Linked DNA regions of Lepisosteus oculatus. The protein of the gene in region 1 interacts with the protein of each later gene in a pairwise test. Links are inferred from orthologs where the notes say so. Each region holds a gene or a part of one and is shown on either strand. Other genes may lie near its edges.

Region 1 (8,022 bases):
GCTAAAGGGGAAAAAAAGAGGTTAGGTGCCCACCGCCCAAACACCCCTCCCACAGACACACAGGGCTAATGTTATCACAAAAGGAGAAAAACAAAACAAAAATCCTTAGCAAGCAGAAGTGCTAGCCAAGAGGACAGACCATAACTCCCCTGTGGTATCGGATTGTCGTTGATCATCACATGGGGGCTTTCCTGTTATTTAACCTCATGCTCCATTCATTTCCTCCTCCACATTCTTGTACATTGTCTGCTTTGGCATTAGGCTGGCTGATCTGCTGTTCCATCTTCCAAAATCAATGAGAAACTATACAATATATTGCGCATTTGGGTTTCATCTGTAGGGTGCTTAATAACAAAAGACTGAACTGAATTGTGGCATGGAGGCAGAGTAGCTGGCATCGCTATAGTTCAAGTGCGACCTGAGGTTTGCTTCTGCAATTTATTACACCAAGTGTTGCTTCTTAGATAAAGCAACATTCAAATGTTCAGTTCAACCCCTGCTGGGTTTCTAAATACGTTCTGAGATTCATCACAAATCCCCTCTGCATCAATTCCATACTGTTCAGTCTTTTACTGCAACACATGACAGGAGGATGAAAACAGCCCCTTGCTCAGGCATTCTACCTGAACTGGGCTAAATCACAGGGACATCAGGTCTCACTTTCTAACACACCAGGAAGGGATTTAAAAAAAAGAGGTGGTCAACCTTCTGGGCCTCCGCGAGCACCCAGAAAATCTAAAAAAAAAAAAAGGATGTGCCACATATGTGAAGCCTAGTCTTATCCCATGTTTTGAGCAGGATTGCTTTTAGTTGAAATAAGGATTGTGAATTAGAATTAATGGTGTGTGGAACTGATGCAGAGGTTTTCTATAATATGGACTTACAGAGATGTCGTAAGTGGTTTTCATGAACCATGAGGCAGATTTTTTCTCATCATTTCCTAACCACTTCATCCAGCCAGAGCCATGAGGGAGCCAGAGCGAGCCAGAGCCTATCCCAGCAAGCATCAGGTGCAAGTCAGGGTACACCCTGGATGGGACGCCTGTCCATCGCGGAGCAAAACTGCACGCGCGCACACCAGGGCCAACGTTCGCCAATTCACCTGCCACAATCACACTGTGGGGGGAACCTGGGGCAGCTGGGGGAAACCCATGTGAACACGGGGAGAACATACAAACTCCACGCAGACAGCAGCCCAGGTCCAGAATCGAGCCCTGCACTGCGAGGCAGCCATGCTGACCACTGCGCCCCACCAGACTCCAGTTCGTTTCCCTGCCACTGCAGACGGAGACTGGAAACAAGTACATTTTAAAAGCTTGCAAAATACCACAAAACACTAAAGATATTGGAAGATTCACTGATATGCCAAATATACCAAGTCACACAACTTTACAAGCAAATATTGCCTGTAATCATGTTTTTAATTCAGGTAACAACAATTATGATGCAGCAGAAAATCAAGAACTCAAAAGTTCTGTTCACACGTACTTATCTTCAGGTAGAACTGGAGAATCTAGAAATAAGAAACCAACTGGACACGTACCCACTACCCTGAGCTAGTCGTGGCCCAGTCTTACTGCAGTTGTGCTCAAATAAAAACTATCAATGTGCATTGACAGTGTTATTCACTGAATAGCATTATGGTTAGTTGCTCCATTTTCCCAAGGGTGTTTAAGTTTAAGCAAACCCCAAGATTCAGAAATGCTGTTTTTTCCCCCTCAAATTAAACCAAGATCCTTAGTTGTTAGGTGTGCTTGGGGGCTTCACAGACTTTCATTTATAGATGCCGACAGTGTATAAAAAATACCTTAACATTTTTAACTATTCTCTTGGAAATAGCAAAGGTCAGAGGATAAAGTTCTTGAGCACTGCTGAATCAGGAGCGTGATCACTGACACTCAGTTCATTAAGCACAGAACAGGTTTAGTTTATGATTAACCATGCATTACTGCTTGAATTTTGTGTATAGTTCAAATAGCTTTAAAACATGCAAAAGGGTGTATCAAATACCTAGGCAGACATTTAACAGTTGTTAAAACCACATCCCCAGTACCAGCTAATCCACCCTAAAGATTAGCCAGCCTGTACAATCAGAAAAAAATACCTTCAGTAAAATAGACATTGCTTAACAGTAACGCCTTTAAGCACGTTTAAAAGGGACCAAATGTGTCTCACTCCGACAATGCACTGCTTGTGTGATATGTATAAATAATCCCTGTTTGTGTTCATAAAACATTAATAAGAAAAACTCGGGTATTTTAGTCAAATTACAAGAAGAACATGCAGGCAGTGCAACATGACCGTATCTCCTGCTGTAAAGAGGGACACGACCGACTCTTAGCTCACGACAGGTCCCTTCACAATAACGTCATTCTGGGGTGAAACTGAAGTTTCTGTTCCGTCCAGACTCAGGAAACACACAAAAGGTTTCCATTACAACTGGTTTTCCACCGTGCTCAAATTTCAGGTATCAAGCGCACTCATACCTCATACAGCAGTTTTTGTAGTAACCATGAAACTCCAAAATAAAAAGGCCAACTAAGACAACGATTTGAAAAACACGCTCGTTCACTCCACTACATTCCTACACCAGCCGGACTTGTTAAATTCGTGTAGTAATGCAGCGCAATGAATGAACGTGCACTACACTTGACCTTATAGATTCAAGTAAAATCAAGAAAAAAATGCGACTAAGCTCAACAACCTTGTCTCTGAATACCCGGCCTCTGCTACAACCGTCGCCTTCACTCACTTCATCAAAACCGAAGGAAAAGCCAATAAATAAGAACTTGCAATACTACAAACAGCTGTGTGTACAACTCGGCCTTCCCTCCCACTTTCTCTGGGTAACACAATCATCTGATGCACACTTCCGGCCCGTCTCTTCCGCAATCTTTAAACTCGCATCTCCGGGGGACGAAGCGCTGGATCGCGGCGATGCGGGGACTTTTACAAGGCCCTACCTCTCTCGGTGGCTCCGCAGCGGCCCTAGTTCGGTGTATGCTTGCGGGTCTCGGATGGATGGCGATGAAGTGCGGGAGGCCCTGTCGCCCAGTGGAGCTCGGCTCTCCAAGATGTCTGACTGCGCTGTGCCGTCACCTGCCCGGCCGGAAGAGACGGCGAACAGCACTTCCGCCTGACACCTGCCGACTCCTTATGGTCCGGTAATAGACTGATGTTTAACCAACGCGGGTTCTTCAACCCTTATTGCGTTTCTGGGTTGAACTCATATTAATAATAATATTGTGTAATAATAAAAACAGTTCACTTAACATTTTAACAACATAAAAAGGGACCCTGCACTCATTAAGCAGTAAAGCACATTAACCCATTCGTGCAGGGTAAATATTGTTACAAGCAGGTGGAAACCAAACGATTAATAGTATCCTATCAAATATTTTCCACATCCTTAAAAGAGGAACATGCGATGTTATTATGATCATCTGAACCCATAGAAAATCCTGTCTGACTACTTCTGATAACAGAACCAGTACAATGCTGTACACAGTGCAACTCTAGCTGATTTTTAGAGAATGCAAATAATACCTAGGGTAGTTTGTTATATAAACACACACGTGTTGGCACCCTTCATCTCCAAAATGTTCTTCTCTTTTGCTATTCTCCAAAATAAAGTAAAATACTCTAACCTAAGCAAACATTTTTGTTGTTTGCAACATTATTGTTGTGTGTATCCAAAGTTTAAAAACAATCTGCTCTGATACAAACTTATTTATTTCTTGATGGAATTTACAGTCTATTCTACAGTAGAAGCACACAAGCTTAGCCTAAGAGAGTACCAGAATGATTTTCTCCTCTGTAGACATTCTCATTATGTTTAAACAGGAGGAAAACATTCATGATGGAGGAGAAAACAAGTTCATTATGTTTTTTACAGAATGTTTTTTCCTCTTTAACAAGTTCGGTTACACTGCCAGAAGCCTCAGGCTCAAATTAATGTTAATTGTTCTAAATAACCTGCCCAATTATTTGTTTAAACCAATATTTCACTAAGTAGTAATGGGGAAAAAAAGCACACACCCGGGTTTTTGGAATTAGCCTATTAGGCTTTTTAATAATTTGCTTTGAATTAAAAAAAATGAAACAATTAGACAAATGCTGTTTGTTATGCAGGTAGCCTGGAGGAGTGATGAAAAGTAATGTAGTGTTACCCATAATCCTTGGGTCTGGATTCAGTTATGATCTGGGACATAATGTCTGTTTTCTGGGATTCCTCCAGGTGCGCAGATTTCTTCCCACAGTCCACAAATTATTGTTCAGGGTAATTGGCATCTTTACATGTCCTCCCACCTGTGCCATTAGATGGACTGGTATCCTGTCCAAGGTACAGTATGTCCCATTTTGTGCCCATTGTTTGCTGGGTTACGTTCTAGCTCATGAGAACCTTGTACTGAACTAAGTGATTATTGCTTCACACACTGCAGAGAATGTTTAATTTGGAACAACACAATTGGAAATTGATGAAACCAGTCACAGACATTGAGTAATAGTCAAGTTTTGAAATTGCTCCAAGTTCCAAGTTCACTCTGAATACCAAAAAGCGTTTCTTTAAAAACAGAAACCAATTCAGTCCTAGAATGTGTGTTAATGGACACCCATTGAATTGAATGCAATGGAGGAAAAAAAATCCCATTTTAAATTAAAAATGTCAGCGTAGTTCCCACAGATTAGACAAAGCTGTCTCCTTTGAGGAAGATAACTTATGCAATGGAGAAAGGTCATGAAGAATTGTTTAGGTGTTTTTGAGCATAAAAGCCCTTGTTCAGAATTCTGCTGTGAATCATCATTCTACATTTAGATCTGCGTTTATATGTGTATATTACAAATGACACGGAGCTTAAGATGTTAGTGGTCTGTTTCTACAACAGCTGAAACCTGAGCAAAGGGCACTCCTGTCCATGAGACCATGGGAAACACAGCACACTCTGTAGGACACCTGATCACCTCTTGTTCCCAATGGTTCTATAAGCCAGGAGTGTTTTCTGTTCATTTGGAGGGTAGAACTAATGCTTGGCCAGATAAAGAGGATAAGTAGTGACAAAAATTAATGAGTCTTATTAAAACAAAAATAGGCTTTGAACTAAAGTTACATCTAAAATTCCTGATTTACTCTAACTTGTCATTCAAAGAGTGACAAGTAATAAAAAGTAACAACCAATAAGTGACAATTCTGCTAAATAAAATGTCTAGTTTAATATTGACAGCCCGAGCTCATGCCTATCACCCACATCTCTGTGACTTGCAATGATCTCATCGATCACTTATGAATAAGGCACATCAGAAATAGCAGCGCAGGATGATTGCAGTGTTTTGATTCAGTTCTTATTAATAGAGACATCAGTGAAATGATGGGTTTAATGTAGATGTCACACAAACTGTCCCATGTAGTCTCATTTAGTCCCAGAAAAAAAAACTTTCCATGATGCTTACTCACCACATAAAGCACTCAGCAGAGGGGAAAATAAAGAAATGACGTTTCTTTCTGGGAAAGCAATTGGGGAAAACAGATAAGTTAATTTGACCGCACCTCTCTGTCCCACAAATGTGCTTTAAAACTGTGCTCCCCTTCTCCCCCAGAGGGAAGCCTCTCCAGGCTCACTAATGAAGCCATGAAAATGAAGGAGGCCCAGAAAGCATGAAAGGCCTTTTTGCTCCTTAGTAAAAATGCAGGTGATCTCTGCCCTTCTGAGGTTAAGACCACTCTATTGAAAGTGAAAGTTAGTTGTGCGTGTCCACAGTTCCCTCGGGCAGCACTGGGTGAAAGATAAAACCATAGGTCATGAAATGCACAGATAAATCATTAAAGCGAAGCTACTGCCTTTATACTGAAAGACCTAGTTGTCAGTTACCAGAGCTGTCATGGTCATGTTTAAAGCACCACGGCGCCCTCACGTGGCCAGTGTTTATTTTACAGTTTTGGATGAACTGTAACCAACGTCTCACAAATTATTATACAACAACCTGATCTATTTTTTTAAATATTAGGAAAGATACTAAAATTGGCCAAAAATAGAATACTCATAAAACTTTTTTGTTGGAAGCATGAAAATGGTGGTTTTAGAATTATGTTTTGTCCTGCATTGTCTACTCCTGAAAACAGCTACCCCAATTGAACTTTGACTTTTTGAATCCTTCTGAAAATAAACCTCACTGTGCAAAAAACCCCAATAAGGTAGGGGTTTTTGACTAAGTGGGTATCATTTCCAAAAAACACCTGGAAATATTTTAATTTCCCATTTATAAATCAGGGCAGCATAGTGGTGCAGTTGTTATCATTGCTGCCTCACAGCGCTGGGGCCCTGGGTTCAAGACTGGACCTTCGGTTGTTATCTGTGTGGAGTCTGCAAGTTCCCCCTTATGATAGTGAGAGTTTCCTCCCACAGTCCAAAGACATACTAGTACTGTAGGTTAATTGGCCTCTGGGAAAATTGGCCCTAGTGCGAGTGTTTCTGTGTCTACATGTGCACTGCGATGGTCTGGCGTCCTGTCCAGGGTGGAGCTTGCCTTGCGCCCACTGCTTGCTGGGATAGGCTCTGGCCCCCCTGTGACCCATGCAGAACATGGAGTGGCTATCAGATAGATGGATGCATAACACTAATTATCTCAATAATCAGTTTAGATTGCTCTGCTACTGAACCGTCACCATTTTTATTACAGGCTTTATGTTTGTTATGGTATGATTTAAAACTGTTTCAAACAGGTGTGTTTCTATCAAAAGATTTCACAAAAGAGCCAACAAGAATGTGAAGAAAATGCATTCGAAACTGATGAGACATGAAACAAAGACCACAAAAACACCTATGATTTTTAATAACTAAGAGACATTTATTACAGTTGCAATGTAACTTTAGGTGCTTTAGACTTGTGTTCAGGTATCCAGCGGCCTAAAACAATTCAGCAAAAAACTGAACTTAGAAAAGACTTACAGGTAATTTCCAGGCTTACACATCTACAGAAACTTCACACAATGTCAAGACTCCATCCCTTTAATCCTTCTGGAAGTATAATCAATAACACACTCAGACACAGAAACTGCTGATGCCAGTCATATTGCCATTTTAACTCACAGTGCAAACTCATTCCCCTGTCATGACCTGCTTCAAATCCAACACTCGAAAATAAATAGAAGCAACAAATCTTTAACACTGCTTTCATTCGTTACAAAATAAAATAAACTAAATCCCACCCACTCTGCTAACGAGCAAAACCGCCACAACCGTAGTTAAGTGTCTCCGATCACGAGCCCTGTAGTACAATAGATACAGCTCCATTTGACAAGCCTTACGGAATATGCTTTGTATAAAAGTTTTACAGGAGCATTACAAGGGAAAACTGCTATCATTAAAGTGCTTAAGATGATGGATGTTTTAGTACTGGGGAGATGCAATTCTCAAAGAGAGCTAAGGAATTTCCTGAAGGTCTTCAGAGACTGGCCCAAGTGCCGCACAGAAATAAAGACAAACCTGCTTTCCTGACGTGTAATGTCACCTTTCTTGCACTCTGGTGCTCTCAGACTGCTTACAGTGCAGTTCTGCTTTTAATATTACAGCCATGACGAGTAGCATTGCTTATCATCATTATTGTTAATTTAATCTGGAGTCAATACTCCCACCGCCAGAAACAACCAAGCTAGCAAACCTGCAGCCCCTAAGGAAGATTTAATTCTAAAACAATGCATGAAACAGCTGCGGAATATGCACAAAAAAGAGATTACCGTTGGTATACGCATAAGGTAAAACTGCATCTCACTGTGTTTGAAGTATTTAATTATTTAATGTGATTATGACTGTAAATCTGATCCTTTGAGGTGCTTTCATTAGTTATTCATGTACATTTGAAAACAAATTCATACCATATTAGTGGTTTGCACTGACATCAAATCTTTGAAAAATTACTGAAATAAAATTCAAATTAAAACCACAAAGAACACATACTAAAAGGGTATCGGACAAAATCTCATTAATATCATGTTACATACAGGGCACATACAACTTAAATAGAAAA
Region 2 (7,895 bases), on another chromosome or scaffold:
AAAATTCATGGTCTGTGGTGCGGACCAGTCTTTGCGCATAGAGAAATGTGGATCTGATATGGAAAGAGAATCCAATCTGTAAAAAGGTTATGGTCTTTTATGTGGTTACAAAGGCCCTGTTAGTTATTTACATCATGCAATTTATCTTATTTTCCCCAGCATCTACAGTGGACATTGTAAGGCATGGGTGGGGAACTGGCCAGTAAAGAAATCTGAATATTTAAGCCTGTGACTGTATCCTCAGGAAAATACAAATTATTTTGTATGTACTGAAAGTAAATGACTTCTAAAATAAATTCATTAAATCTTTGTGGGGTTCTTCATCTGGAAGTTATTTCTCTTTATTAAATTGTATTTGTCTGAGCCTAGAAATTTTAAATTTGTTTTAAATGTTTTAAATTTGCAGATTCACACATACCAATGTAAAAGAATAATCCCATTGCCTACACAGTAAGAGCAGTAAATTGCAAAACTGACACACATTTATCTACCTTTTTTCACAACTTAATATGTTGCTGCTTTCAGACACTTTACCGTTAAAAACAAACACAAGTTGGAGATGAGACTGGTTTTGTGACTCTGAAACCGCTGCACACAGGGATATATGACTTAGCATCTTTTAAAATGGAAATTATCAAACTGGAAAGATCTCTTATGTGTAAATCACATCGTTCCCACAAGAGGGCAGCAGAGTACAGTTTTTAGGCTGTAGTCTATGTTGCAATCACGTGTCTCTTAAGACGTGCCTGACTGAAGGTGAAGCAAATGCTTTTTTTCCCCTAGCGCTTTCCGAGTCTGTCGTGCTAAATGCAGCCCACAGGCAGCATGATGGAGGCAGAGATCGTGTCCGCAGGAGGAGTTCGCAGCAGCAGGCAAAGCTGCAACACGGTGAGGATCCTGAACGAGATCGAGACCAGCCTACTGGAATGCAAAGTGTGCTTTGAGAGATTCAGCGTGGAGCGGGGCAAGGGCAGGCCCAAGAATCTGCCCTGCGGTCACGTGATGTGCTGGGAATGCCTCAGCTCTCTCGCCCACCCTCGCTTTCAGAGGCTGGAGTGCCCCTTCTGCCGCAGGCTCTGCAGCCCCGCGGAGGCGTCCGACTGTCTCGTGGTGGCCCACCTGACGGAGCTGCTCGGGGGCGGCCGCCCTCCCTGCGCGGGTTACAGCGCGGGCGGGTTTGGGACTGTGGGCCTGAAGCTTCGCGGGGCTTTCGGAGGCTGGGGGCGCTTGGTGAACCCCACGGGAGCTGCCCTTTTCGGCGGGCGGGGGGCGCTGGTAGTCGTGCATGACGGTAGGAAGCGGGTGGGTATCTTCAGCCTCCAGGGAGAGCGCCTCCACGGGTTCGGGCGCAAGGGGACGTTGCCCGACGATATCTGCTACCCCCTGGACGTCGCTGTTACGCCCGCAGGCCACATTATTGTGACCGACGCCGGGGATCGCTCTGTCAAAGTGTTCACCTCCGCGGGAAGAAATCTTTTGACCGTCAGAGAGACGTTCAAGTTGCCTTGGGGAACGGATGCCGACGGTTCCAATCGCATCTTTGTCACGGATGCGGACGCTGGGACCCTTTCTCGCCTGGTGGTGGATTTCTGCACAAATCTCGTCACCGGTCACCATGTGGCCTCCTCGAAGCTGTGCTGCCCCAGAGAGATCGCATCCTCCAAGCTCACAGGGTCCGTAGTGGTAGTGGAACATCTAAGAGGTTGGGAACACAGAAGCAGCACAGCCACAAGGCTCAAACTGTTCGATAGCCAGCTCAGACTGCTATCTCAGATCGACACCTTTGGATTCAGTTTGGTGGCTCCAGTTCAAATGAATGTCTCCGCGGTGGCCTTTGACAGCGAAGACAACGTGATTGCAGCTGATGGCAGCCGGAGAGTGGTGGTGTGCTTGGGGAAGCTCAGGGAATCCCCTTCCTTTATTCCACTCATCAACCAAGGGCTGGGTCGCCCTGTAGGACTGATCTGCACAGCGGGGAACATGCTGGTCGTCTTGGACAGCAGCGAGCAAGCTGTGAAAATTTACAAAGATGGCCGAGACCAGCTGTGAACCACTTCCAAGAAAAATTTAGAGTCATGCAAACTGCAGACTGAGCATATTTAAGTGCTTGGCACTTTGTACTGCTTGTAAAATTTCCTGCTGAAAACTAAGAAAATCGTCACTAATAAAATTTTTCATAGTAAACATTACCGTCATATACAGTAGACAAAAAAGTACTGTAAATACTTGTGAATGGAGCATAAAGCATACATAAATATTTCTAAGCATATGGTCTTTGTATTTATATATAGAGTAAACTGTATTAATATATAATATGTTAATAGTATAAATACATTAATATTGCTTACAATGACATATCAGTAGATAATTTGTTTTATACCACTAAAAATAATTTATAATAATATTGTATAATTAGAAGACTAACGTTGGCTTAACAGTTTAAAAAGACGTTCTAGGTCTGTGCTTCCCTGTACTGGTTTTGGACATATTGTCATTTCTGGTACAGTATGTATTTCAACCCAGCTCTTTCTTAATGAACCTCATTGAAGCTTTAATTGAAGTGTTTTCACAGTTCCAGCTCCTCGATGCAAGATTAGATTGGGGAGCTGTGAAGAAACAGTTGGAGATTAGTTCCACAACGAAGAGTAACAAGAACAAAGGCAACGTTTTGGATTTGGAGCCTCTTCAGGTATGACTGCTTCTCCCTGGAAGCACCCAGAGCTGGGCTAACAATTACCATGTGCCAGATGAGATTGAGGACTCCTCCCTTTTCGGATTCCTGTTTAAATGACCATGTGGAACTTAACTGAAGAGTCTGTACAGCACTGTGCATGCTTATTAAAGGAGTGCTTCAGAAGCATCATACCTACTTGTTTCTGTGCATCAGTCTTAAACAAGGTGAAAACTACAGCTTTTGTAAGATGTCTTTGAAATAATACACACGAATGAAATTATTTCTGGAAATAAGAACTTTTAAATGAGAAACTCGGCTGTACCAGAAACTATATCAAAGAAGGCATTCAAAGTCCAAGATTGTGAAACACTTTTCTGAGTTACACTGACTCCTTCGCTCCATCTATTTATCAGTTCATTAAGAAAAGCTACTATCTGGTTTATTTATTATGAAAAGACCCTTATGGCAAGAGTCTATCCCCAGGAACATTGGATGCATACTGGGAATACAACCTGGACGGGATGCTAGTCCAATGCAGGGCACACACACCACTGAGGACAAGATGAGGACGGCATGTCACATATGAGAAAACCCATACCGCATTGGGGAGACCATACAAACTCCACACAGAAGATGCCCCATTCCAGACTTGAACCCAGTATCCAAGAGCTATGAGGCAGTACTGCAAGGCTGCCAAGCCTTCCTGCCATGCATTGATAGGATATTAAAATATTGGAAGAATGTAATCTTCAGCATATGTTTAGAATGTACGGAGAATGACACTCAAGTGCAAATATGTTTTTTTTTATTTTCAAGTGTGATTTTTTTACTTTGCAGTTTTATATAATAATAATTAATAATAATAGACATGCATTTTACATGTTTCGCCATTGTTACTGCGCTTATTCCGTATTCGGTTGGCATAAGCGAGTGCCTGGCTCTGCAAAACAGTTCTGGTCAGAACTGTGATTTACAATTTGCAGATTATCACATACAGTACACTAATTTGCACATTCCTGGTCAAGAGGCACTTTCTCGGGCCGTAGACAGTACTAACGTACAGCAGCATCACTGATGGAATGAGAGCAGAAGGTAAGAACAACGAATGGCAGTATAAATACTCTTCCATTGTCCTAATTGTCTCAAATCCCATGCGATATAAGGCCACATTTAGTAGATATACTGTAGATACAAAGTATTCCGGGACTCGGAACACCCTGGAAAAGCCGGACTAGACACCCGTCCGTCTCACGGAGCGCGCATGTACAAAGGCGGATAATGGAAAAAGTCATATTTACTCGAGCAGTTTATAAATACAAGGCTGCACGAAAACGTACGTGAGAATCTACAGATTTACCATCTGAACCTGTCGGTTTCCACATTGGTATAAATAAACAGTGCGACGAAAGTACTCTTAATTTTTGTATTTTGGAAGTGTGCAAAAAGCCTGTCCTAACACTTTTAAAGTACTGACAGCATATTCGCAATCAATTCCAACAGATCAGCACTGGAGTAACATATCTGAACATCTTCTGCAGTTTTGTATTACTTGCTATTTTACGTCGTTATGCCTGTGAAAACGCAGCGTTATTAAGCGCTACATGTTTGTTACATTATAAAAATAATAACAGTAACCATGTTTATTTAATTTATATTTATAAATATCATACTCTATTTATTAAATATCCACGTTTATTTATAGAAAGTAATAATACAAAATAACAATACATACCCACAGCTCCGGTCTGAGTTGTCCCATTTTTCTAATCAGGTGCAGCAACAGTGACATTTTGGTCTTGTCTCTAAATTCGCAATGGGATGACGATATACTCGATCTCAACAGTAAGAATGTAAATCCTCACAAAAATGTTCACTATTCACAGCTGACATGACGTTTTTTGCGTATTGAATAAAGCTAGATAGTAGCGTGTTTCCCCTCACGCATCTTCGTTCGTCTTCGTATGTTTCCGTGATGTCCGAGTGCCTCTCCCGTATTCCGTTCTTCTCCGTGTATTCCCGGTGGCCTTTGCTTCCGAAGTTCAGTTCGTGTGTTCCCAGAATCCGGCTTTTTCGGTCCGCCGGAGTCTCGCCTGGTGGTGCAAACTGCTCTCAGTGGAAGATGGCGGTGGGGATGGAGTCTAGGATGAGAGAGGATCGGTGGTAAATTTAGCTCACTGAAAGTAAAATATGTTTAATTTTCTGTTTCAAGTGGCCTGGAATGGATCTTGGGAATATATTGTTTGCATCTACGCCCGATAACTGACTTGGAGCTAAAGCACTTGGGGACTCACACTATCATTTTTCCTAAGTCCAATGTAACAGTCTAGTGGAGGAAAAAAAAGTGGATGAAAATGTCGGATAGTAAGGTAAAAGTTGCTGTAAGAGTCCGGCCAATGAACCGGAGAGGTAAGTGTATTGTACTTCACCATATTCTGTCTTCTGTAACCCATAATTACAACACCCTTTAAAAACTTCTTTAGCTGCAAGATTTGTAACGCAGTGTAGCAGCATCTTCTGTCTCTTCAGCAGTTATGCAGCAAAGGAGTGATGCGATTTATCTGGGAGTTGTTTTAGGGAGAAGTGAAACGGCTAGGCTTCGGGGATGTGTGTTTTGTTACTGTGTGACGGCTTTAAAGCGCTCCCTGCTAACGCACTGTCCCTTTCGACTGTCACCGCAGAAATTGAGCTGAACACGAAATGTGTTGTGGAAATGGAAGACAACCAAACCGTCCTGCACCCACCGCCTTCAAACTCGAAAGGGGAGAACAGGTAAAAACTGCTGTGTGATAAAGCATCTACTTTGGTTAGTGTCCCTTGTGCGACTTAACGAACTTTTAGCGGTGAGTCCAGTCTTTGTATGTGCCCGGGCGATGGGGGAAATCAGTGATTTGACATTGATCCTCGCATTTAGTATTATTTAACGGTTACCGTCGATAAAACCTGCGATTTGGCTTAGAAACAAAGAGGTGAAAGGCTTCTGGATTTTACTGTTTTGGATTCGTTTTTTTTGGGGGGGGAGGGCTTTGTATTGAACGAAGATGGGATTGCAAACTTGGATGTACAACATCTGTGCCCGCTGCTGTAGATCAGCGAGACCTTGACGCACAAGAACTAAATGCCGGATAAGCACGCATGTAGTTCGGTTTTCTCGACGCTTACAGTACTTCTATGTTATGTGGTCATTCCTCCCAAGTTTTAGAAGCGAAAAAACAACAACAGGTGTGTTAAATAACACTTCACGCGCCTCCTCGAGGCCGTTTTCAATGCTGTGCGACACGGTTCCCCGCAGCGCAGTGCAGAAAATTGACCACCAAGCCCGGGATACAGAGAGTTGCGGAAAGAGCCGCTGGCTCCCATCCAAAATTCCAATGCAACAGGCTGTAAAAATAGATGGGAGAGAGGAAAGGGGAGGCCGCTCGTGTTGGGCACTGTCCCTTCCACTGATACCTGTTAGAGCCGCCTCCGACAGTTTAACCTGTATCAGCTTCTAAAGTCGCCAAGATTTCGAGTCCTTTGATTGTGTTTTAATTGCGGTTTTTTTTCTTGCGAAAGGGCAACATTTTAAAGATAAAGGTAACCTCAGACAACTTGGGTTATATTTAGTAACCCTACAAAGCGGTAGTTTTCCGCTTGCTTTCACTGGGTTTTTGAGGATGTACATAGGAAGTATATGAGTATATAGGAATGGAATCCTGCATAGTTAGTAATCTTGTTTTTGGGTATGTAGTTGTTTGTATAGTATTTATAGATCGTATATATTGCTTTTGAAAAATTTCTTTTAAAATTAAAATGGGTTCTCTTTTCTGAAAAATAAGCCTACATCTGTTGCGATTTATAGATCTTGTGGTTAGATTTGACTTTTTTGCCCTCCGGTGAAATTTCACTAATTGTGTTTGGACTCTACTGGAACTTGTTCATTGGAGTGTAGTACTGGTTAGCAAACTCTGAAAGGAGGCTTTCAGTCTGAGCGAAAACAATAGGTGTGTGTCAGATGATTTATGGAGCAGGAAGAGAGCTGTGTATCTTGCTCATAATTGCAGAAATGAAGGCTTTACATTGTATTGGATCAGAACGGATGTGCTAGTTACATACTGCTTAACCAGCAGAAAAACGGGTACATTATTTTGTAAGTTGGAGCATTGAGCTCAAGTCAATTCAGCAGATGTAACACAGGGCAAGTGCAACTTTATGTGTAGGAAGCCATTGTAAAGAAATTGATGTTGATATGCACAGACTTTCAATTGACTATCCTTTTGACAGAAATGACATATAGCAAAGGATCACAATTGATTTCCATAAATATTTGTTGAATACGATCTGTCAATGACAACATCTTGTTGAATTTACAAGGGTTTTGTCTTGCCGCTTTCTCTTATACTGAATGTCGGTGTGACCTAAAGTCCAATTATTGTTACATCCATTTATTTCGATTTTTAAGATTTTCTGTTTTGGGGAGATTATTTAATGTACATTAGAATCTACCAGGATGTTCCGACTGCTTAACATTTAGGCCTTGACCTTGTGGTTTGTTTTGAATGCCAGATTAGAAAAAAAAAAGCTCTCAGATGTTGGCTAGTGAGTGTTTAGCCGAAAACTTTCAGATAGATTTGGAAAACTCTTTCTAAAAGCCTGGCTGCAGTACATTTGCATCTGAATTTCTATTTACAAAATCCTGATTTGATGTAACCTGGAATCACAAACAAAGACTGACCAGAGAAGATAAACAGCAAGTGAATTTCCATGACCCCCAGGCAGGTGGAGGTTGTGGTTTTGCATAGTCACATTGGAAACCGATATTTCCTTTAACCATTAATGTAGGGAAGGTACATGCTGACTGTGAGACAGTGCTGTGTGAAGATACTCACTTTCAAATAACTGACAACTTTGCCATCTTGTAATGTGCAGTCATTGACAGGGAAAATGGAGTGTATCATAGCTTCCATGTTTTTTTCCCAACCTAAACTTGCCCGACAGCACTAGTACTGGCAAACACCCTGCCTTCAAACCATTTCAAGCCAGCGTTACAAGAACTGGGTTCCTTTTAAGTCCGCATGTGGTTTTGAGGCTTCACTGAGTAAGCTGTTGGCTCTTCATGAGCTGGGCTCTTGCAGTGCAAGTGAGAAAAATATCATCAGTCTCGAAATGTTATAAAGCAATTTGCAAGCCATCTCTCCAATAAACCATAATTTTGCTTCTCTCCTTAATTGTGTCGTGCTTGGAA

Evidence for each region. The genes of interacting proteins can lie anywhere in the genome.
Region 2: the proteins of ap1b1 (region 1) and kif13a interact in binary tests that used the Homo sapiens proteins (3 or more experiments, as listed by UniProt). The link is inferred for Lepisosteus oculatus from reciprocal best matches to the Homo sapiens genes AP1B1 and KIF13A.

What each region holds. Positions count from the first base shown.
Region 1 is NC_090717.1:13,415,925-13,423,946, forward strand, and holds the start of ap1b1 (AP-1 complex subunit beta-1), read right to left. Parts: upstream 3,129-8,022; 5' UTR 2,964-3,128; intron 2,804-2,963; exon of another isoform or gene 2,705-2,803; intron 1-2,704. UniProt on the Homo sapiens protein: Subunit of clathrin-associated adaptor protein complex 1 that plays a role in protein sorting in the late-Golgi/trans-Golgi network (TGN) and/or endosomes.
Region 2 is NC_090705.1:16,935,997-16,943,891, reverse strand, and holds the start of kif13a (kinesin-like protein KIF13A), read left to right. Parts: upstream 1-4,718; 5' UTR 4,719-5,019; coding exon 5,020-5,080; intron 5,081-5,352; coding exon 5,353-5,443; intron 5,444-7,895. Other genes in the region: E3 ubiquitin-protein ligase NHLRC1, read left to right, coding at 808-2,049. UniProt on the Homo sapiens protein: Plus end-directed microtubule-dependent motor protein involved in intracellular transport and regulating various processes such as mannose-6-phosphate receptor (M6PR) transport to the plasma membrane, endosomal sorting during melanosome biogenesis and cytokinesis.